Arabidopsis thaliana: one gene and its partners. The protein of the gene in region 2 interacts with the protein of the main gene of each other region in a pairwise test. Each region holds a gene or a part of one and is shown on either strand. Other genes may lie near its edges.

The links.
Region 1: the proteins of CNGC5 (region 2) and AT1G13195 interact in a protein complementation assay, tested with the Arabidopsis thaliana proteins (one large-scale study listed by BioGRID).
Region 3: the proteins of CNGC5 (region 2) and AL2 interact in a protein complementation assay, tested with the Arabidopsis thaliana proteins (one large-scale study listed by BioGRID).
Region 4: the proteins of CNGC5 (region 2) and SK42 interact in a protein complementation assay, tested with the Arabidopsis thaliana proteins (one large-scale study listed by BioGRID).

The regions. Positions count from the first base shown.
Region 1 is NC_003070.9:4,501,046-4,505,391, forward strand, and holds AT1G13195 (RING/U-box superfamily protein), read right to left. Parts: upstream 2,632-4,346; 5' UTR 2,303-2,631; coding exon 2,205-2,302; exon of another isoform or gene 1,827-2,204; coding exon 1,664-1,826; intron 1,536-1,663; coding exon 1,469-1,535; intron 1,272-1,468; coding exon 1,034-1,271; intron 950-1,033; coding exon 733-949; 3' UTR 536-732; downstream 1-535. Other genes in the region: AT1G13190 (RNA-binding (RRM/RBD/RNP motifs) family protein), read left to right, coding at 1-309.
Region 2 is NC_003076.8:23,454,698-23,461,128, reverse strand, and holds CNGC5 (cyclic nucleotide gated channel 5), read right to left. Parts: upstream 4,565-6,431; 5' UTR 4,463-4,564; exon of another isoform or gene 4,232-4,462; intron 4,114-4,231; 5' UTR 4,014-4,113; coding exon 3,985-4,013; intron 3,806-3,984; coding exon 3,223-3,805; intron 3,062-3,222; coding exon 2,849-3,061; intron 2,458-2,848; coding exon 2,147-2,457; intron 2,007-2,146; coding exon 1,895-2,006; intron 1,757-1,894; coding exon 1,520-1,756; intron 1,359-1,519; coding exon 690-1,358; 3' UTR 508-689; downstream 1-507. Other genes in the region: AT5G57950 (26S proteasome regulatory subunit), read right to left, coding at 78-138, 224-451; APO2 (APO RNA-binding protein (DUF794)), read right to left, coding at 4,775-5,606, 5,692-6,044, 6,191-6,309, 6,412-6,431. UniProt on the Arabidopsis thaliana protein: Probable cyclic nucleotide-gated ion channel.
Region 3 is NC_003074.8:3,507,480-3,512,272, reverse strand, and holds AL2 (alfin-like 2), read left to right. Parts: upstream 1-1,614; 5' UTR 1,615-1,854; coding exon 1,855-1,954; exon of another isoform or gene 1,955-2,055; coding exon 2,056-2,088; coding exon of another isoform or gene 2,089-2,171; coding exon 2,172-2,394; intron 2,395-3,422; coding exon 3,423-3,546; intron 3,547-3,625; coding exon 3,626-3,886; 3' UTR 3,887-4,277; downstream 4,278-4,793. Other genes in the region: AT3G11210 (SGNH hydrolase-type esterase superfamily protein), read left to right, coding at 253-393, 497-573, 665-814, 959-1,172.
Region 4 is NC_003070.9:21,430,534-21,438,070, forward strand, and holds SK42 (shaggy-like kinase 42), read right to left. Parts: upstream 5,571-7,537; 5' UTR 5,344-5,570; coding exon of another isoform or gene 5,304-5,343; exon of another isoform or gene 4,980-5,303; coding exon of another isoform or gene 4,894-4,979; exon of another isoform or gene 4,837-4,893; 5' UTR 4,720-4,836; intron 4,440-4,719; exon of another isoform or gene 4,436-4,439; 5' UTR 4,345-4,435; coding exon 4,204-4,344; intron 4,076-4,203; coding exon 3,983-4,075; intron 3,898-3,982; coding exon 3,838-3,897; intron 3,764-3,837; coding exon 3,491-3,763; intron 3,120-3,490; coding exon 3,045-3,119; intron 2,475-3,044; coding exon 2,418-2,474; intron 2,339-2,417; coding exon 2,198-2,338; intron 2,107-2,197; coding exon 2,056-2,106; intron 1,874-2,055; coding exon 1,778-1,873; intron 1,311-1,777; coding exon 1,227-1,310; intron 1,113-1,226; coding exon 1,010-1,112; intron 914-1,009; coding exon 829-913; coding exon of another isoform or gene 825-828; exon of another isoform or gene 678-824; coding exon 605-677; 3' UTR 518-604; downstream 1-517. Other genes in the region: AT1G57860 (Translation protein SH3-like family protein), read right to left, coding at 58-294; AT1G57906 (F-box protein), read left to right, coding at 4,894-4,979, 5,304-5,343, 5,717-6,277; PUP17 (purine permease 17), read right to left, coding at 7,069-7,537. UniProt on the Arabidopsis thaliana protein: May mediate extracellular signals to regulate transcription in differentiating cells.

The DNA of each region.
Region 1 (4,346 bases), on a different chromosome or scaffold from region 2:
GAGGGTGGTTCTGAATATGGTGGGTATGAAGATGAAACCCAAGAGAAAGAAGAAAAGCCATCACGAGATAAAGAACGGGCTACCACAGAACGTGACTGGTCTGAGAACAGTGGTGACAGAAGACACAAGAGTCACCGTGAAGAGAAAGATAGTCACCGTGAGTATAAGCAGCAGAGAGACCGTGATTCTGATGAGTTTGATAGAGGACAATCTAGCTTGAAATCTCGAAGCAGATCAAGAATGTCCGAAGATGATCATAGATCCAGGTCAAGAGATGCAGACTATGGAAAGAGGAGACGAGGTGACTGAGAAAGAACCTCCCATGTTCTTCGTCTCTTTAGATGCCATTTTAAGTTACTCTCTACTATATCTATCTCTTTATATCATCAAAATATTGGATACAATGTTTCTCTATACTTTATTTACTGATAGTCAGTCTTTGGAGACTAGCATATATATATGTAAACTATGTTTTGTTTTATTGATGGTTCTATTTGTTATTGTCAATCATTACAGCTTCTAGAATGTCGTTTGGTTAAGATGAAATGAGATCTTTATTCTTTGCTGCATTCAAGCTTTTTTTTTTTCTCGCAATTTGACAATTATTAAGTATGTAAAAACTGAGAGCTTTGGCATTTGCATCATATCATCCAAAAGCCTTAACACAGTTTTACATTCTATACAATACATTTACCATCTAAAAATCTGTACAAAGTTTTGTTTGTCCAGATTCTATAGCAGATTTGAGTACTCATAGTAAACCACAAAGAGAGCTTCTGGGTAATCCTTGGGAAGGCTATTGATGTAGAGATAGAATCTGAACAAATCTTCCCTTGAAGCCGTCCTTGTATCCACCACATCGTTATCACCCGCAAGCACCCACAAGTCCTCTGAGTTCACTCTCTTCATGCTGCCTCGACAAAACGGGCATGACTGAGACTTCAAGTTCCTGCAGATTTGAGAATCAACGAGATTCAGTAAATGCATCAGGTCAAAAAGGTCTAAAAACTAAAAAGTGTGTGTGTGTATATACCAATTGCGATAGCATTTGATGCACATAGAATGGCAACAATTAGGCAACACCATTTTGGTGCAAGTTTCTAAACAGATACCGCATTCTTCTTCACGCTCTAAACCGGCATTGCTGAATCTACTACTACGAGCCTCTTTTGTTATCTTCTTACTGAGTCTTTTAAGGTCAAACCCGATGTCTGTGGTTTCCAACTCATCTAAGTTGCTGTGTAATAGCTGCAGTGATGGTAGTATCACACCTATAAAACACAAAACATTAAGGACAAAGATGGAGACACAAACAGACTCATATTAATCATTCAACATCATTCCCATTGTAAATACCCGCAATGTCTCAATCGAAAACCTTTTAAAGGAATGACCATGTCCACAAAAAGCTTTAGCCAAAAACATGAATATTATAACATTAGTGATCGATTGTTACGGGTTTGCTTACCATAGAACTCACTAATCGTTGCTTTCCTTCCGTGCGTGGTAAGCTTAGGTTGTCCATCAGACTGGACCTATTCAAGCAAATATGACAACAAATTGAGAAATTTCAGCCACCAAAGAAAAAAAGCTTATAGTCAAGACATCGATATCCCCATTAAAAGATGGCATTTTGAGATCAAATAAGACTTAAAAAACTAACCTTGTAGACAAGAACATGAAAGAGGTTTAAGTAGCGAGGAATAAGACATGAGGAAGAAAGATCAATCCACCGGAGCAAGAAGAGTAATAATGAAGCAAAGTTACTATGAACCAGTTTCATCTGAAGCCGCACATTGTTCTTCCCCATTGGAATTGCTTCTGCCCTGAAAAGATATAAACCTCAAAGTTCTCATACACAATTCATCGAACACAACATGTGCAATAACAAAGTTTAGGGACCTTGAGCCAAAACAAAAACAAAAAAGCTACTAAATTTGCTTAAATTAGAATATCAAAACCAACAACAACTTTCCAGAATGTTCTATTTGTGAAAGCTTTCTAAAACTAAACTAAAAATTTATCGGAGTTTCCTAAAATAACCCAATTTTGATGAGAAGAGATTACACACAGAGAAGAGAATGACCTAAAATTATCATCTGGGTTTTCAATTTTTTCACTAACTATACTCTTATAGCTCAACTAATCAAACAATTTTAAACTAAAGTCTTAAACTTTAGAAGAAACCCAGAAAAAGGACTTACAAAGAATTAGCGTGTTGAACATCAGCTTCCAAAACCTTCAAAGATTCATAGTACGAAGAAGATGAAGAAGACGAAGATATCGCCAACTGATTATACATATCTCTCTCTCTAATTGTGAGATTACAACAAAGAGGAATCGATTGAAGAAAATTCCCAGAAATATAAGAAGAACGAAAGAGAATAAGATGCTAAAAGTGAAGGAGGGATTGGTCTGATTGATCGGAAAAAGGCAAGAACCTAAAAGACAAAACAAAGAAGCTATAAACACCGTAAGAACACAAGTCTCACTTCTTCTTCTCTCTCTCTCTCTCTTTGCTTTTTGCCTTTTTGATTCTTTGTTTCCGGTTGCTAGCTTTTTATTTATATATTAATCATGTTTGAAGAAAAATTCGTCTTCTTCTTAATGACAAAATTAATATGTTTTTTTCCTTGTTTAATAAGCTAATTAATTATAAACTTTGAGTTGAGATGGCTTTTTGTATGTGAATGAATATGAACTTTTTAATTATTTCAAAGTGAATGAATATAGGTTTAATAGTCGCTTTCATTCAAATTGTAACAGCTTTTGGAATAAATACCTAAAGTGAATATAGACAAAACAAAAACCCAAAGTGGAAGAACGCGTGTACTTTGCCTCACTAATAAAACATGTTTTCCGTAATTCAAGAATAAACCCAATATTATTCTATGGTCTAAAAGAAGACATGCGCACAAAAAATATAACTTAAGTTCAAAATTATTTGAATCGAAACTAAATTTAGTTTGTATAAAAGCCTACTTTGATCTTTTAATAATTTTATAACGAAATTAAGTATAAAGTTTGGTTATCTTTTGTTAACAAGTTCCTGACTTTAGGACTCATATAAAATTTTCTTGGTCAATAACAAATACTTTGTCAATACTAAACTGTTTTTCGAAATAACAAAGAGGTATCATCGGTGAAACAAACAAACTTAGGTTACCAAACTCAAATGCACAAAAAACTAATCTAAGTAAAAAAAAAAAGCATGTTGTAGTACCTATATATTCAGTTAAATTTTTAAATTATCCAATATTTTTAAATTTTATTATTACTGCTAAAAAATATTTTAATTCGATAAAACATTCCCTATACGAACAAATGGAAAAAGATTTAAAGTAAAATCAAATAGAGATGTTTTTTCGGGTAGCCAAAGAAAGCCAACTAACATATAACAAGTGGACACCACATCAACGAAACTACTCCCAACAAGGTCTATCCAACAAGATATATCAACACCGGATTGTCTTTATAGAGGCTTCAAAGAGACATGTATTAGTCATTTAATCTTCATATGGGTCTTACGAGTCCAACTCCTGGACACAACGTACATTCGCTAGCAAAGCATCTCAAACGTGCATAGAATTCTCTACGGGACAAACCAAACACCAACGAGCATTGAGAGACGCGTCGACCATGCAAAAGCACATCTCCAGACTCCAGACATACATGACACTCCACTCCACATAAGCTACTTGGACGGAATGACAACCATCGATGTCACGTCCCATCCACATAAACAACACTAAATAGACTACTATTTTACAGGTAGCGCAACCCAGTCAAACCACCATAAACCAAATCTACTAACTTCAAATTTATAAATAAAATAATAAATTCTACTAACTTGGATTATGCATGTGTCATCTTCAGTCATATCCTAGGAACGAAGCCGATAGAGAGTATGAAATCTATCAAAACCAAAAAGCCACAAGATGAAAAAGTGTTCAAAGATCGAACTTGAGAACCAAATTTGTCTGTACGACAGTGCTAAGAGACCTCTTATTGTGGAGATCTAGTCATTTTCCAAGTATGGATGCAAGCAAATAAAAAGTCTTCAAAAGGAGTAGTAGTAGTAGTAGGGTTTTTTATAGATAAGATATCAAACTTTGAAAATAAGTAACTTTCTGTAAGCACACGGATGTCTGTAAAAGATTTCGAGAGACTTTGTTAGGTGATCATATTTTACGAGACCGCGGAAACGGCGATGTGAGAGCAGGATCTTCTAATTCTTGCAAACCGCCACAGGTGTGGATGGCTCAACCATATATAGTTGTGTTTGAGTTTCCTTTTTTTCTCAAGATGATTGGTTGTATTAATTGAGATAAGTTAATCTTAATTCT
Region 2 (6,431 bases):
CCTAAGTTTAAACTAACCTTGGAGTTGTAGTCTCACCCTAACTATGGACTAATTCAGCACAAGAAAAGAGAAATCACCAGCAAGACGACGGCGCTCAGTTCTCACCATGGGAATGTCAATATCTTCCCGAGGAAATCCCTGCCATAAGCAAACGAATCAAAGGAGAAAATTAAGCAGAATTTTCGGTTAAGATTAGAGAAGAGTGAGGACGCAGATACAGTACCTCCGAGTCGATGAGATTGCCGGAGAGACCAGGACCACCGGGATTGCAGAGACGTTCGACAATAGAGTTCATCTCCGTCTCCATGGCTGTTCTCTTGTCCATTAGAGCCATCGTCTCCGCTTTCAGATTCGCGCCAACCATCTTCTCTTCTCTTCTCCAAGTCCGATCGATTCTTAATTCTTTCACCGAAATCAATCGCAACTTCTCTCTACCTTGGGACCGGAGCATGTCACCGTGAATATATTGTGGGCTTCATTAAAAGGCCCAATAGACCCATTCTTTAACCGGCATATGATCCTAACCGTACATTTATTAAATCCAACGGCTATAATCTCTTTGTTTCTACACTTCATATATTAATTTTACAGACAGCACAAGCAGCTTTAAAGCCAAGCAATATTTGTTTATCTCAACCGTAATGATTCCCATAAATTATAAACAATAATGTCTACAAGCTGCTCAATCATCAGTCAGCAGTGAAATCAGGCTCAGGAGGCTTCTGCAGCTTCACCAAATCCCTAATCTTTGTGTTCCGGTTCCTGTGAATGGTGCGAAGCGCATTAGCCGCAAACTTAGTGGCAAGAAATGCAGCCCCAATGGAGTATGAAGGTCCAGCGGTTGAGCTGGACACAGCCGCGGCCTCGGCTTCTGCCTCTTCCATTTTCTTCCTCTTGCAGTATCTACGCCAGGCAGCCTGGATGAAACAAGCAGCCCAAGTCCTCCATTGGTGAGAGTAAAACCTGAATGTGTGCTGCACTTGCCTGCTATGTAAGCGCCGGAACTGGCTTGCTACAAACTTCAGCTCCTCTGAGGTCAGCGCAAACGCCTCTACTTCTGTCAGAGCTTTCACGGTCCTCGTGGAAGACGGGAGATTTACACCTGATTTTGGATCCAATGCCCATGTCAGAAGCTCTTCCCCGCAGAATTCTCCTTCTTTCAGGAGACTGCGGTTGAAGAAACCGCTCCTGCCTCCATCTGTTGTCACACTCTCGAGGCGACCACGTATTATGAATAGCATCTCGTCTACAGGATCTCCTTCCCGCACTAAGTAGGTACTCTCTGTGAACAAGCATGGTTTCAGCCGCATACAGATCGCATCCAGCAGCTTGTCGTCCATGCTCTTAAACAATGGAACCTAATATTATGGTAAAAACGTATCATGAACCAAGCTAGCTTGTCGATGGTCAAGAGCTCGTTTTAGTTATGAGCCGACTGTTATTCAATGGGTCCTAGATGTTCAAAAGGGTGTGTGATCTATGTGAGAAGCTTGAATAAGGAACAGCGGGGAGAACTTACCCTTCGCACTAAAGCCAGACAGAGATGCCGCTTGATGTCTCTCCGGAGATCCTTGGGAAGATTCTGAACGAGATACTCTTCATCTACACCACGTGTCTCCAACCATTTATACTGGTCATAGCGCCTCACACGCTCCCTAAGATCTTGTGGTAACATTCTGTGATGCATCCATTGTTCTGAATCACGCCTCTTTACTCTCATTTCTTCAAGCCGGATGGTAAGAGATTGGAGATATGTCTGTCCCAAGATTGCAAAATGTTGTTAGATAGTCATTATGCAGAGGAAACAAATTATGCATGATGCTTCCATTGAAAGAGCTTACAAGAAATTTCTAATGATCACGAAAGTAGCTAAGGTTGCACCATAATTACTCACCTGCATGTTTCCAATGAGAAGAGCAAAGAGGATCAACCCAGAAATGGCGAGAGATATGGAAAATATAATCTCCATTGGGTATGTACTGGTTTCAAGCCCTTGTCCAAGTGTACTGTGGTGCAACAATGAGAAGTACTATATGAATATCTGAAACTCATAGACGCATAACTTTGATAAAGGAGCCGAGTTTAGTGAGAATTGGTAAGATCAAAGCAATAGTCTTTCGACTGAATAGTGATAGAACATGGTTACCTCAAGTTCTGAAGGCCCCACCACAAACAATAACAATATTTTACGATGAAGTTTTGGGACGAGACAATTCCAGACGATAAAGCCTGTGTATAAATCCCAAAGTCAAATGGAGGATTATTATCATCGAGGTCAGCTCGGCACTTGGACTTAAGAACAGATTCCTTGGCTCTGTTCCAAACAGCATAGCCGTCCATGTTTTGATTGCCACAGTACAAGAAATCTGTGCTGCAATTCCCTGCATCTATACAGGCCTCCTGCCAGCAGGCGTCGTTACGTTCTAAGGCTAAAAGGTACCAAAAAGCTCCAACTATCTGCAAGATACGAAACAGTGGCTCAATCAAAATAGCACTTACCAAGTCAATACTATTATTGAAGAGTAAATAAGCTATACAATCAGAGTTGCTCGTCATAAGAAACTTGACATTTGTGATCCCATGAGGCATGAACATCAACTAAGATAAAACGAAAGGTTGCATAGAACATCAAAGGTAAGCATAGACGGCTTAACCAGAAAGCTCAATAAGCTCCTTTACATGTCTTAGGAAACTAAACATTTGAACATAAGTTCATAACAGTGAAACGGATATGCAAATATTTCCTTGTTTTGCACTTTTGGTGCCACAGTCACATAACTCATGGTGAATGGGCAAGCATTGAATAGTACAAGCAACGTCTTAAAATGAAAAAGGTATATAAACTCACATGACTTGCAAGCATATATAAAAGCAGATAATAAGCGGCACCAGCCCAAGCCGTTTCAGCAAAGACACCTGCTGTCCTTTTCAATTCTGACGTCAAGGGTAAGACACGTAGGAATCGCGGTATATACTGGACCAAAACAATGAAAAGCAAGGCCTGCTTTGTAGCCAATACATCCGACCCATTTGAACTTTGCAAGAACCTCCAAACTACAATCTGCACATACACAAAATGAGTACTGTAAATCTAGAACTAGAAAGCGCTTGACAGAGATGTCTGATCACCAACTACTGGCTACTGCACCCTTTCAACAAATTAAGCAATGATGTTTTCCAACACACAATTTACTGAAATGATCAAAACTTATATTAACCAACCTGAGGGAGAGGAAGTACTGAGAGAAAGTCAATAATAAACCAACGTTGTAGATATCTCTTTGCTATCTGTGCAGGATCAATCACGAGTTCACCTCGCCCAAAGACCCGTGATGAAGGTGCAATATAAGCAGTCCTAAGCTGGAGAGCCATGTGAGCGAGATAAAACACATCGATAAAAGTCCGCAATGTACTTGCTGTGATAGCCAGTTTTCTGTCAATACCCAGGCACTTGGACTCAGCATTAATCACAGGAAGATAGAAGAAAAAAGGGTCCACAAACACTGAAAGAATACATGACGCAACGAATAATTTATTGCAATACAAAAGGAATTTATCCTGAGGATCAAATATCTTCTTTTCAGATACTTTAAGGTCTTCTGGGAACACTGCTCGATAAACACCGAAACCAAGTGAACGTCCGATCGACTTAAGCCCTTTGGAACCCTTCTGGATACCTTTCTTGAAGGATCTAGAAGTTTCATTGCTTGCATGAATAGGATGAAGTTGTCCACTGAAATTGGAGGCGTAGTTCTGTTGGAAGGCTACAGATGATGATGGTAACCTAGAGTCCAAATCATCCACCCTATAAAAGGTATGAACAACACCACTTTCAGATTACTATGCACCAACAAGCTATAGTTCAGTACAATCACACTATACTTTCATAAGGAAACAAATCAGAAACAACCATTGCCAAATCAATACGTTTCTCACATTCAAACTTCAGATCTTTGTATTAAAACAAAAGGATGCAGCACTAACCTCACAAAGTTTTCTCTTTTCCCTGCCATGATTGCTTACAAGGAATTCAGAACTCAAGAGCCTTCCAAGATCACTTGCTCAAATCGATGAAGAAAGAGCACAGCTTTAAGACTCTAATCATTAAGCAAGCTGCATCATCCCAAAATAAGACTAAAATACTTAACCTTTGAAAGACCCAAGTAAAAATAAGTCATAACCATATGAAGTTGTCAAGTTGTGCTAAAATGAAGATTAGACTAACTCTGACCAGTATGAAGCGAAGCAACATCATTACATCAACTCAAATGGATAAAAAAGGAAAAAATTTGATGAATGATGGACACCGACACATAGTAACAAATTTAAAGAGGTAGAGCTAGAGAACCAATCTTAAATTTCTCGCATAGAAAAAAGGAGAATTGAATCTTAGAACAAAATTAGAAATAGAGCAGACGTGAACTTGCTGAAGCAAGAGAAAGAGACAAAGACAAAGGCTTACATGGCTACACGGTTTCAAGGGTCCCGTTGATGAGGATAACCAGAGGAACAACTACGAACATGAAAAAGATGAAAGTGGGTATAAAGCTACCAGACAAGTGGTATCGACTTGACACAGACAAAAAAAAGAAAATGGCAACGAGAAAAGATGAAAACGAAGCAAATGACATTTTTACCCTTGATAATAGGATTAGCGTGGATTGTTTTTTTTGTCCTTCAAAAGTCAAAAAGACCTGGGCTGTGATATTATTATACAACACAAGGTGGAATGGAGGATTTTGTACAAGAAGAAGTTTACAAGGTCTTCTACATATCAAACAACCATCTCAGCTTCTTTCACACTCGAAGGAATTCCAACCTCCAGTCTCATTGTAGCTCTATAATGCTCAGGTACAACAGCGCCAGCCTGAGCACATATCTCCACAACAGCAGGTGCTTGCCCGTAGAAGCTTCGTAGCTCTCGCTGCATCGGTGGCCCATTCACATCAGGAACATGCCAAACATATCTTGGCGGTATCAAGTCGTCAAGTACTGCAGATTGCCAACCATGCTGGCCATTCCGCTGTTGGTGCTTGAATGCACCACAGTTCTGGGCCTTGTGTCCCGTTGGACCTACGTGAACCTCTGGACAGTACCCACAGACCCTAACCCTGTACATCCTCATCAGCTTTTTGGCTCCTGCTCTCATTTCTTCCCAGGCCTGTAATGTTTCTTCGGCTAAGGAGACTGTTTCTTCTTCGCTAGATGGGGGAGTGATCTCTGAGACAGGTAACTCAGTTAACAATGGCACTGGAGGAGGCTGAGGCTCTGGATCAGGCAATTCAGTTTCATCTGCATCAACAAACTCGCTTTTGCCAATGCGGATAATCGGTTTTCTTCTCCTTTTTGCTGGAAATTCGGGTATTTCAACGCCGCCCTGAATGCAGAGCTCAACTACAGCAGGAACTCGGGGAATCGAGAATCTTTCATCATGACGGATACGCTTGCCAAGGCGGTCAAAAAGGTGATAGGCTTCAAGAGGAACAATAACGTCCTCAATAACCGAGTTAGTCCATTCATGAAGACCTTTCCTTTGGGAAGTATTGGGACCTTTACACGACTTAAATGGATGCCCATAAGGTCCAACATGAATCTCATTGCACCACCTAAGAGACCAATCATACAACATCAAAAAAAGGCCATACTCAAAACAGACCAAAAATGAAACAAGAAGAAGAAGAGAATTTTTACCCACAAGCATTAACACGAACAACTTTCATAAGCCGGTGGAGATTGTTGATCAATCTGATTCTTGCATTGTATACTTTATAAGCAAGAGGCACAAGGCTCTTCACAACCATACCATTTTTAGGCGGAGGTAGAGGTCTCTTAGGTTTGTCTTTGTTGTTCTTGACTCTCTCCCTCGCAGCTCGTCTCAGGTCCACAATAGGGACTGGGAAAGGTTTCTTCTCTCGCCTTGTGTACTGCTTAGGTAAGTCTTCATTCTGAGGACGATCATTTCTCACAACTAATGGCAGAGATCGACGCTCTTTACTAAGCACAACTCTTGAATTCAACTGAAGGCTAAACTCAATGCTACTTCCCTGCACAACATATCCGCACATAACAGTAAACATTGACTCTCTACTTCAAAGGGAAGCAACGAAGTGTGGTCTAATTCTAAGAACCAAAACAACAACGAAGCAGAGTCTGGAGAATTGGATGATACTGACTAGTAAAGGAATCTGACCTGAAGAGAAGGAGAGAACCCAAATCTATAAAACGTGTTGGGATTAAGAAATTGCCTCCTGGTTACGCTATGAATAGCAAAAGGTACACTTTTTGGTGAAAACCCAGAAACTGTACTAGCTGGATAAAACAACGGAAACCAAAATCAATCACAGTCTCACAATAAATGGATAAAATTGAGCATTGAGGACGGATTCGACACACAGTGAGGAAGAAACTTACAGGAAATAGCGGAGTACGTT
Region 3 (4,793 bases), on a different chromosome or scaffold from region 2:
ACACAAGTGGCTATTTTAGTTGCATAGTCTTTGATTTAGCATACAAGACTCTGCATCTGTTTCAAGGGAGATGTCTCTGTTTAAGCATAATCTGTTTCATCCGAGTTTTCTTGATATCTCAAGCTGTTTTCTCTTACCCATTATAAAAAAAATTTGGTAGAATGAGCTTAACTTTGTAGAAAACCATCATATTCAAAGCTTCTGTTTTCTTCCACTTTGTCGCCTAAAAATTGCAACTTGTTACGGATGCAGGATGCTGCAGTACAACCTTCTCTGGTCATTGTCTATTTTGGAGGAAACGACTCAATGGCGCCTCACTCGTCTGGACTAGGACCTCATGTACCACTTACTGAATATGTTGATAACATGAAGAAGATCGCTCTTCATCTTCAGGTTTATACTTCCTTTATAATTGTTAGATTTATTATTTATCTCCTGTCAGTCACGTTTAAAAGCCATTTCAAGTGCTAATTTCTTCCTCTATTTTCTGTTTCAGAGCCTTTCAGACTTCACCCGAATCATATTTCTTAGTTCTCCTCCAGTGGATGAGGCTAAAGTTCGCCAGAACCAAAGGTAACTTCCCTGAATTTCTTCACTATCTCTCTGTTTCTCCTTATTCTCTCCGGCCTTATTAATATAGATGTGCTTCTTTTTCTCTCACAAGCCCATACTTGAGCGAGGTAATCCGCACAAACGACCTCTGCAAGACTTATTCAGATGCTTGTGTAGAGCTGTGCCAAGAACTCGGCCTAGAAGTAGTTGATCTCTTCTCTACTTTTCAGAAAGCAGATGACTGGAAAACTGTTTGCTTCACGTAAGTATTTTTTGAGTTCTGAAGAAATATAGAGAGACCTTTGATATATATGACTTTCTCAGAGTTTCCAAATGCGATAACCGGGAATGGAGTATCGACGATGTTCATTGAAATGTTTTAACGGTATAGTCTGGTTTGTTACAGAGACGGGATTCATTTGTCAGCACAAGGAAGCAAAATAGTAGCGGGAGAGATACTAAGAGTGGTTAAAGAAGCGGAATGGCATCCATCACTTCACTGGAAATCAATGCCAACAGAATTCGCAGATGACTCTCCTTATGATCTTGTATCAGCAGATGGCAAACAGACAGTAAATTCTTCAGAATGGACTTATTTCTGGGAAGAACAATGGGACTAAACATTTCAACACACACAACAACAACAACAAGACCCTATCTTCACATAATTCACTGTCTTAATGTGATAAAGCTTTGCTTTAGATTGTTTACATTACAAGTGTCTCTGCTATAATCTGATTCAGTTTCGCTCGAAAAACGTTACCATTTTAAAGTTTATACTTATCTAAATCTTAAATCACAGAAACACACCAAGTTTGTGTTCAAGTAATTTCTTTTTTTCTTGTTTACATTTTACAGACATTAACAAATGTCTGAAACTCATCACATAACACTCCTCCAGACAGGGGTTTAGTGTTTTGAAGGTAAAATCACAAAGTAACTAAATTTGGGCCGATAACAAAAAAGTCGCTTAGGAGATTGGACTTATTTGGGCCTAAAACCTAACACTTAAGGGCCCAACTAAAATGCCATTTACCTAAAAAGCGACGCATCTTCGTCTACTACCAAACCTTTTCGCTGACGCAACCAAACTCCCAAAAATAAAAATAAAGTTTTTATTTTCTCTCTCTCTCTTATTTTTCTTCTCCTTCTTGTTCCGTCTGCTTCTCTCCATCTCCTTCCATATCTATTGTTCTCTCTCTCTTCATGCCCGAACGCATCGGGTCTCAAAAACCATTGATACAGACATCGATCCTTGTCAACTAGTACTGATCTATAAATCTTATAAAAATCTGTAGAGATATGGCCGCCGCAGCCGTTTCCTCTAACCCTCGCACCGTTGAAGAGATCTTCAAAGATTATTCCGCTCGTCGTGCCGCTCTTCTTCGTGCTCTCACTAAAGGTCTAAATCCTCTCTCTCTCTCTTTCTCTAAATTTCCCAGATTTCTTCGTAATGCCTTTGGATTCGTCCTTTAACTTGTTCGTTTTTGTGATTTTTTCCAGATGTTGATGATTTTTACTCTCAATGCGATCCGGGTATGAAAGATTTCGACTTTTAGATACCCTTTTATGTGTTTTATTGAGATTTGATTTCAATTTTTGGGTGTTTGTGGTTATAGAAAAGGAGAATTTGTGTTTGTACGGACACCCTAATGAGTCATGGGAAGTGAATCTACCAGCAGAGGAAGTGCCTCCGGAGCTACCTGAGCCTGCTCTTGGTATCAATTTCGCTAGAGATGGTATGCAGAGGAAAGATTGGCTTTCTCTTGTTGCTGTTCACAGTGATTGTTGGTTGCTCTCTGTTTCTTTCTACTTTGGAGCCCGTCTTAATCGCAATGAGAGGTATTTCTCTTTTTCCCAACATTTTGATTCTGCATTCTCATTGTTTTGTGTTTTCTTAAGCCATGTCTCCAACTTTTACTTGATTTCAATGGATTCTGTGTTGTTCTTACATGAAACCCCATAGTTGTTTTCCATCCTGGCTCTTCTCATGTGAAGTAAAAATTGAAACTTTGTGATGATGATGGAGTTCGTTTGGAATGAGATTGTCTTTGAATTTGCGTGAAATGAGTTTTGTTTTGTTTTGTTTTTTTCGCTATTCGTCATTCATATCTATGGAGTATTGTTTGTTGCATGACTTCATCTGTCTAAACTTTTTCTCAGCTCTTTTGGATATTGTAATGGCTAAACTTGAAACTTGATTATCCTCCCTAATTTTAAAAGCCTGGTATTTGCTATTCTATGAAATCTGAAAACGGATATTCTGTGGTCGCATGTGCTGAATTTCACCATTTCATTGTTACATCTGAACACCCATCTTAGTAACTATGGAATCCAAAGAACTTTACTGACAAAGGTTTTGTGAAAGTTAAATTTTGACAAAAAAAATTGCTATTTGATTAGTACTAATGAGATCATTTTACTGTCTGTCTGTCATATATTCTAGAAAACAATGTTATTTTGGTTATTATCTGTTTCATTGTTCTTCAAGAGAGAAGTAGTTGTTGGCATTTAGATAGGTTTCAATTAAAGGTGCAAGAAACTGGACTTTGTTTTCTCAACCAGTAGTTTCACTATACCATTAACAAGTCTCTAAAGTGATCCTCTACCATTTTAGTCCTCTATCTTATTTACACTAGACTAGTAAAAAGCATTTCGTAAGATGCATTTCCAAGGATAGAGAATTTAACCCGACAGAGCTGCAAACAAATAATGCTAGATAAAACATCACAATTGTGTGTTGTACTGATATGAAGATTCTGGTTCGTTTTTCCTCACTTTCGCTTGCTAATCTAGTTCTTAGCTTATCTTAGCTGCCTTTTTCAATGTGTTGTCCACTCATGGAGTTATATTATTCTTTTGATTTGCAGGAAGCGGTTATTCAGTCTGATCAACGATCTCCCAACTCTCTTCGATGTAGTGACTGGTAGGAAAGCCATGAAAGACAACAAGCCAAGCTCGGACTCAGGAAGCAAATCCAGAAATGGCACTAAGGTACACAAAATAAGGAGCCTCCTTTCTTCTTTTTTGTTATCTGGTTTCCCTCTTTGAAATCAAAAATCGTAATTAGCAGAGATCAATAGACGGGCAGACAAAGAGCTCAACACCGAAACTAATGGAAGAGAGCTATGAGGAGGAGGAAGAAGAAGACGAGCATGGAGACACTCTCTGTGGAAGCTGTGGAGGTCATTACACAAATGAGGAGTTCTGGATTTGCTGTGATGTTTGTGAACGTTGGTACCATGGAAAATGCGTCAAGATAACTCCGGCTAAAGCAGAGAGCATCAAGCAGTATAAATGCCCGCCTTGCTGTGCAAAGAAAGGAAGACAGTGATGCTGATCAATTGATGATGATGATGATGATGATCTCTCAGAGAGACTCTGGTTCTCATGTTTTAATCAATATGTTAATCAACTTTTTTTCTTTTCTTCTCTTTTTTTCTTTAACCTTCTTAATTTTAAAGCATACAAAACTCTCTCTTTAGATCTCAAGAAAGGGATTTCAAGAAGTTGAGGGAGAGAGTAGCAAACTGTTTGAATAATATTATTATTATTCATATTAAAAAAAAAAAAACTGGGTTGTGTCATCAATTGTGTTGTGTCATGGGGTTTGTATATGTTAGACTTAGTCAAATCTTTAAGCTTCGAACCGAATTTTGAACAAATATGTTTTTAATCTTCTGTTAGGTCTTTTATCTGTCTTAAGATATTGTTTTTCATAATTTTAAAGAATATTATTATCCAATATTATGTGATATGTCAAAGTGATAGTCTTCTCATTTGGCCGGAATTGTAAAGAGCCAACATGTTTTCCAAGTTCTAAAGGGCAAGTAAATGTGATCGCAAGCCTTAGAATTGGTAAGTTTTATAATTAACCATCAAGATTGTCACAAATCATCTCTAAATCCAAATCTAAATTTTTCAATCAAATTTGCGACAATAATCAAATATTTTTATTTTTTAAAAAAAAAAATACTATTTATTTAGCATCATACTCAATAAGAAATTCATGAAATGTTAATAGTTGACAATCGACTGAATTTAACTAAATTTTAAACTCATCGACTGAATATTTATTCGACGATAATGATTTGTAGCCTAGTGTTTTGGTTTGTGCTAATTAATGCATGTTGATGATAATAATAATAACAATGATCAATATTCAAAATCAATACAAATCAATTTATAAATGTGATCATGCATGTATGTAATATCAAGAAGGGCGATCCCAAGTAAAGCCA
Region 4 (7,537 bases), on a different chromosome or scaffold from region 2:
CTAATTTCAACAACAAAAAACTCTTTCAAACAGATTAAAAGTTTTGAGTAATCAAACCTGTTTGTTGACTTCAACACCAACGGCACGTTTAGTGACATTCCAGATGCGACCAGTACGACCATGGTAGAACTTATGAGGCATACCCTTGTGGATAGCTCCATTAACCTTGACATCGACGTAATCGCCGACCTTGAAGGTTCTGAGGTAAGTGGAGAGTGGAATATAACCCTTCTTCCTGAATGGTCTCGCGAACAGATCTCTTGTTCTCGCCCTCACTCCGTGTCCCGCCGGCATTTTTCCTCCTCTCTCACTTCTGTCTCTGACGAAACCCTAAAAATGGGAGAGAGAGGTGAAACTAGTTTAAAAGGCTTTTTGTGTACATGGTCTTATTGGGCCTTCAATATTTAAGCCTTATTTTGTAAAACAAATGCCTTATTTGAAATTAACTCGAAGATAAATTGGTTTGGTGTAATTCGAGTAATATGGTTCAAATCAAGTTCGTAAACATGGACAAATAAACTAAACTGTCAATTCATTTTAAGGTTCACAAATTTTTTGGAAAATTGTGTTGTGGCAGGAGTCTTGCAAATGTAAGTATGTTCCTCTATATCATATATCTAACAAAGTAGTGTTGTATTTTACGCATCCTCACTTCACGACAAGGGATGCGCAAGCACCTTAATACAAAAGTCATTGCTTCTTTTTCCAGTGATTTCTGTTTACAGAGAGAGAGCTCTACTGGTTTTTCCCAAAGACTGGGATCTAGAGAGCTTAGAGAAAAGAAGAGAACACCCGATAGGTCGTACAGAAAACACGGAAGAGACTTACGAGTGTAATGCCATGAAGTGGTTCTGCTTACGGGCATGTTCTGGGACAAGTCGGTCCACAGTTTCAGGAGGGATACCAGAGAGTTCTGTAGGACACACGCTTATCAATAACACATACTAATTTTCTTCCCTTATAAAGAATTTAACACGGAAAAAAGAAGAAGCAAATAACAGAACCTTACCTTGTGGTTTAAAATTGAATAGCGGAGGAAGTGGCCGGCCGTTTGGCAGACGAGCATTTGGGTCTCTTAGCTCATCAAAGAAAGGGTGGATACAAGCTTCCACCTATCAGAAAATCATAAGACATACTTATAATGGGTTAGCTTCTGATGCTGATCCCAAAAAAAATATGGAAGTAGAATATGTAACAAAGTCAGAGAAAAGCTATGAATAATTTACCGCTGTACATCTCAAATTAGGAGAATACTGGAAGAACCTACAAAGAAGATCTACTGCTTCAGGTGGCAGACGTTTCTGGAATACCTGAAAGTAACAAACACATGATTCTTGTGCTGTAAGAACATGACTATATAGAAGTAAAACCAAGGAAATGATCACTTAAGAGAAATTTTAGCACGGAGCAAAACAAAAGATAAGAATAACGAGTAACAGAGTTCTGGAATGTCAGCTGTATAAAATGCTGAATAAAACTTCATCTAGATAGAAACTTAAACCAGCAAAAAAGCCAAGATCATGAAGCCTAACTGTTTTCAACCCCCACGAGTGTGTGCATGAGTAATTCCTTTTGGCAAAGGTTCAATTTATTTGTTTGTATAAGAATCTTATATACAAAGGCAAAGCTGTCACATCGCTCTATATGCCAGAGGAATGAAATATGAAGTTAATTGATCACATATACTTCAATCAACCTCACTAAACCGAGACAAGCTTGGTCATATATCGATTAAGAGAACCCTATTAGGTGATAATTGATACTACTAGCGGTATACCTTGTGCCAAGGATGAGGTTTTATCTGAGGAAATTTAAATTCTGTGTAGTTTGGATTCATGCATTTGATCTCCTCCCTTGTTGGTGTACCCAAAACCTGCATGACAATTAAAAAACCATGAAGAGAGAATGTACGAGTCCTACTACAAAAATGGTGGTAAAGTTTTATAAAAAAAATATAATCAGCAGTGAGAAACTATTAGTCAGTGCCAGCTCTAAAGATGTCATTTTCTTTGTAAATACAACTAACCCTAAAAGAATTGATAGCAAAAATACTACCTTTATGATTTCAACAAGTTGATCGACTCCACTTTCGCCAGGAAACAGAGGCTGTAAAACAAGTCCGCGAGAGCAAAAATGAGTAAGAGGGTGAAGAAATAGAATAACAAGCATATAGCTAATGCAAATATAGTGCTCCAACCTGTCCAAGCAGCAGTTCAGCCATCACACAACCTGTGGACCATATGTCTATTGCAGTTGTGTACTCGGTGGCTCCAAAAATGAGCTCTGGGGCACGATAGTATCTTGAACAAATGTAAGAAATATTGGGTTCTCCTTTCACCTGTGGACCATGACACGTCATAATCTAAGCATGGACTAGGAAAACTAAACCACTAAGAGCTATAGCTGATAAACTTTACCAACACTTTTGCACTCCCAAAATCACAAATTTTCAGCTGATGTGTGTGTGGATTCACCTGCACATCACAATAGGTGTAAAGAAAAAAATAAAAGATTGTTTAATAAAAACAAGGCAACATTTGTTTATGACAAATTCTAGTCAATTGCAGGTATGGTGAGCCTAACAGCTGAAACAGTATGGAACAAGTTCAATCCTTGTGAAATCACAAGAAAATAGGATTCTAAATATTTAAACCAACGAACAGACCAGCTAAAAACCAAAACTATTTTCCGAAAAGTTAGATTTTAACATCCTACTTGAACAAATAGCAAGTGAAATTAACTACAGAACAGAAGCCCAGTACCACTCTGAGGTTGAAATAAACATTAGCGAGATGCATACATAACCTCATTGCTTAATCCCACCAGGCATGTAATAACGAAATATCATCATGTCATTACTATATAATGATCAAATTTGTAGAATTAAAGAACACTGTCTGATATTTATGTACACAAATGCCTTTAAAATCCTTATGTGTGGTGACAAAGACCTTGCTATATAAAAAAAATTCAAACAAAAGTAGCTTACAGGAAAGTGAAATCTATCATCAACTTCTTTTCAGTGAGAAAAAATTGGAACTTACTAGCAGGTTTTGGGGCTTTATATCACGGTGACAAAGACCACAGCAATTATGAAGGTAAGCAAGCCCCCTGCAAATCTGTAGCCATTAACATAAAATCCTCAAAAATCATTGGAGAATGTCCAACAAATTATCAGGCCCGATTCACACTTAAGTGTTCAACAAACGTTTGAGCACTACTTCTTTTATATAGAGACAATCAATTATGTTCAATAGTTCCAACTTCTAACGGAAAAGTACAATAGTATCAGAAATGATAGGAACTTTGCCTTCTGGTTTACAATCTATCTAGCAAAACAAGAGGAAATCTCCAACATCCATTATGGAATGAACCACAAGAAACCAGCTGACACATATCAAGAAACTGAATATAGCTTAAATTTTGAGTGATTACTTATGACGCTTACATAAAGAGAAACAAAAAAAGATCAGAAACAGGAAATAATCACCTGGTAAGTGTAGAGTTTGACATATATCAATGGCATCAGCTGGTTCATTCTACTGTAGCTTCTGGCAGTACGATTGACAGTCTCGGGAACAAACTCAAGGACAAGATTTAGATAAACCTCTTCATTTTCTGTTCTTGAATAGAAGCTATGCTTTAAACAAACAACATTCGGATGGTCTAGCATCTGCATAATTTGTAATTCTCTGTTCTTGTAACGCTTGTCTTGTAGAACTTTTTTGATGGCAACAACCTCCCCAGTTTCTCTGCATTTAGCCTACCACAAGGAGACATAAAATGTTTGGGAATCTTAACCAATGGTAAAACAACAAGATAGACAATCTTACTCACTTGGAAAACCATTCCGAATGAACCAGTCCCGACTACGTGTTCTGCTATGTAACTGACTGTCTGTCAATCAAAATTAAAAACAGTTGTATAAGAATCAGTACGTCTCACTAACAATCTAGACACACAGTTTCTATGACCATCTAACCTGTCTTGATTGACCATTTCGTCCAGGGAGTGTAGTTGTGATCACATGGCCAGGTTCTGCACCAACTCCATCAATGATATCTGGTTCACTGTCCTGCAACATGGCAAAAACATCAAATTCAAGTAAACTACTTCATCAAATAGAGGGGCGCATGAGAAGGAAGATAAGCTAAAGAAGTTCACAAAGAAATAAAGACCTAAGAAAGGAGATGCAAAACTTACTCTCTCCTCATCAGCCTCTGTCTTGTCCCTTATCTTCATCTCAAGCATATCTCTGCTCAACCAATCAACTGAACTAGAAGTGTTCTTTGTATTTTTGGCAGATCTCGAACTGCCTACTCCATTTCCCAGATGAGATTCCATGGTGGTGGTTGTTCGGAAGATAACACGTACTAGTAATTGATAACACCATAAACCTTAGCAATTTGGTGTCCCATCCCATCAAAACACCAATCTTCCTAGTAGAATATTAAAATCGTTTTCATAAAGCAAAAACAGTATAAGCAATTACCAGAGTATATACCCACAGAATTTAGATCGTTGGAACATGCTAACAGAATACCAAAGTCACTGGTTTTTCCAAATATATTCAAAACAAAATATCTTAACACTTAAAGCAGATTTAAGAGAAAAGAGAAACATGCAAACTCACTTTCAGAAGTGACATAAAGTTAGCAAATCGACCATCCTATCACCTTCTCAGAATATATTCTACAAACCAAACATAACGCATAATACCTATATATTCATAGAACCACCGAGCACATTCTTATAGCTTGAACATCCACAAGCACTATGAGATAGAAATAACTGAGTGGTGTGGTCTCTAGCTGCTTATGTTCCCTTGATCAATCACTACAAAGAAGAAATATGGTGAATTGAAATGAAAGAGGAAACATATTAGCAGAAAATATGAACCATTTCTATGTGAACAATGAAATTAACAAGAGAATAATTGAGAAAACAAAAGAATCAAATCAGCTACCTAATTTTCTGAGGTCACAATAATTTCTTCCGAAGTTAATTATGATCAGATAGAAACACAGAAAAGTCAACAACTTGGTATTAAAATTTCATTGAAACTTTGAAATAGTGGGTGATAACACAACACTGATACTACTACAGAAGACTAGAATTGAAACCCAGAAGAAATTACGACAAAACCAGATCTAAATTCCACTAAAAGGGACAAAGCTTGTCCTTAAACTCAGTTTCTACAATTACAAAAAAAACCAGAAAAATCAGTAAAGCAGTTGTTACTGCAAGAACCTTAACTTCCTCCAAAATTACACAATTCAACCAATTCGAAGCGCTATCTTCAGGCTTGAAGCCGAAGATGATCGATTTACCTTGAACGGAAAAGTAAAAATCACGCATTTGATGATCTTCTTCTTTTTCTTCAATTTATACAAAATCGAGCTCAATTTTTCTGACGAGCGATCACCAATGGAGAGAAACTGATCAGTAGAGATTTTCTCTGTGGTTTTCTTTTGTAGATTTCTTACTCTTTTGAATCAGGAGAGTTTTTCAGAGATTTTCATTTTCTTTTGTAACATCTACTTTATTTAAATTCGTAAAAGGGAAATACAAACAATTAATTAACCAACCAATCAGAGATTTATAAAAGAATTAAAATATATATTTATTTTAAAATAAAATAAAAAAATTAATTGATAAGCTAAACCAAATCACATCTATTGTTAAACCGAAATGGTCCATTGCTTTTGGGTTTAAGAAAGTTGTTCTTGCGGGAGGAGATCGAGTTTTTGGAATAGGGTTTGATGGGAAGATTAGGTTTTGGAATGGAGAGATTTGGACTAGAATCAAAGATCAGATTGGTGAATTCTCTGATATTATTGTTCTCAAAGAGCTAATTTACGTGTTGGATACGAAAGGCATTGTTTGGTGGATTAGTATCGTTAGGTATGGAACTTCACTTACTAATGAATGTGGTGGAGACTTAAGCTTGGTTGCATGTTGTGGAGAGCTTTATATTGTTGATCGTCTTTTTAAAGAGAATGTCTTGAAAAGAAAAGCTGATTACTTGGACTTGGATGATAATGTTTATGTTGGTGTAGCTCCTCGGATTTCTAATGTGATACATGACGATTTTGGGAATGAAAAATGCAATGTGGACCAAGAGGTGGAAATAGAATGTCCCAAAATGGTTGGTTTCAATGTTTATAAGGTTGATGAGGAATTAGGGAAGTGGGTTGAAGTTAAGTCCTTGAGAGATAGTGCGGTTGTGATGGCGACTGATACTTGTTTCTCGGTTATGGCTCATGAGTACTATTGATGCGTACCGAATTCTATATACTTTGTCCATGAAAAGGAAGTAGAGGTTAAGGTGTTTAAGCTAGACGATGGTAGTACTTTGATGATGTTTGGTTCTGAGCAGAGTTGTTTCCAAATGTTTGTTCCTAGGTTTCTCTGAATCTTGTTTAGGCTAGAGCTACTTTCTTTATATTAAGGATATTGGAGGAGTGACAAGAAATGTGATAACATTATCTCTATCTCATACCATACTTTACCATTTCCGTTAAGCTCTATCGAAAACCTTTCTTCTCCAGCTAGTAATATGAAGAGTGCCACTTCTGTAACCGAAATGTGCATGGCCTATTGGTATATTTCTGGCTTTCATCGACGTAATAAACCACTTGCAGAGGAATGATCACCCATGGAAGATATACAAAACAAATAAGCATATAAAAGACTTCTTCTCATCAGCCTCTGGATTTGAGTTGCTTGGGGAAGACGTTTACGTTGCATTCTATATAGGAAAGGTACGAGCCTAAAGGCATAAGAGCTTGGTGCAGCTTATATCATCAAGTGGGATGTGGCTTTATTGGTGTCTCGATGCCCCATAGATGTTAACAATCAAGTCTACTTGAGAAATATATAGGGATTCACTCCTCTAGCAAAGTATTGTAACAAATAAATGCAAAACAGAGAAAAGAAAAAAATCAAACTAAACCAACTAATAAATAAATTACATAGTTTGATCCATATCTATACAACATATTTTGGACATTGACTTACAAGAATCAGAATAACAAGAACAGATTGACAAACACTTGACATGAGAAACTAAACTTCAACATTGTTCTCACTTTGGTTAAGTTCCGCCATCTTCTTCTTGTTTCTCTTGTGCAGAGTGTAGAAGTAAGATCCTAACGCCAAAACTGTTCCTATCAAAGCACCAATTCTAGGCCAACTAAACACATCATCCATAAAATCAAATGCCAAGACAACAAACAAAGCCACAAATGGTGAAGCACACATATGAACAACATCACCAAAAAGACCCGAAACATAATGCACCAAACCTATCATCCCGACCGCCCAAACCTGCCACGACAAAGCCAACCCGACCAAACTCAGAACGTAATACGTTTCCCCTTTCTTAAACCTCTTGCTATCGCCTTTCAGTTCCTTATACTCGTCACTCGCAAACAAGCCCACGAGACAAACAACCGAGGCGACAAAAGCGACACATATTTGCATCTCTAAGACCATTCTAAACACTTTCTCGTTACCATATCTCTTGGTCTTCACT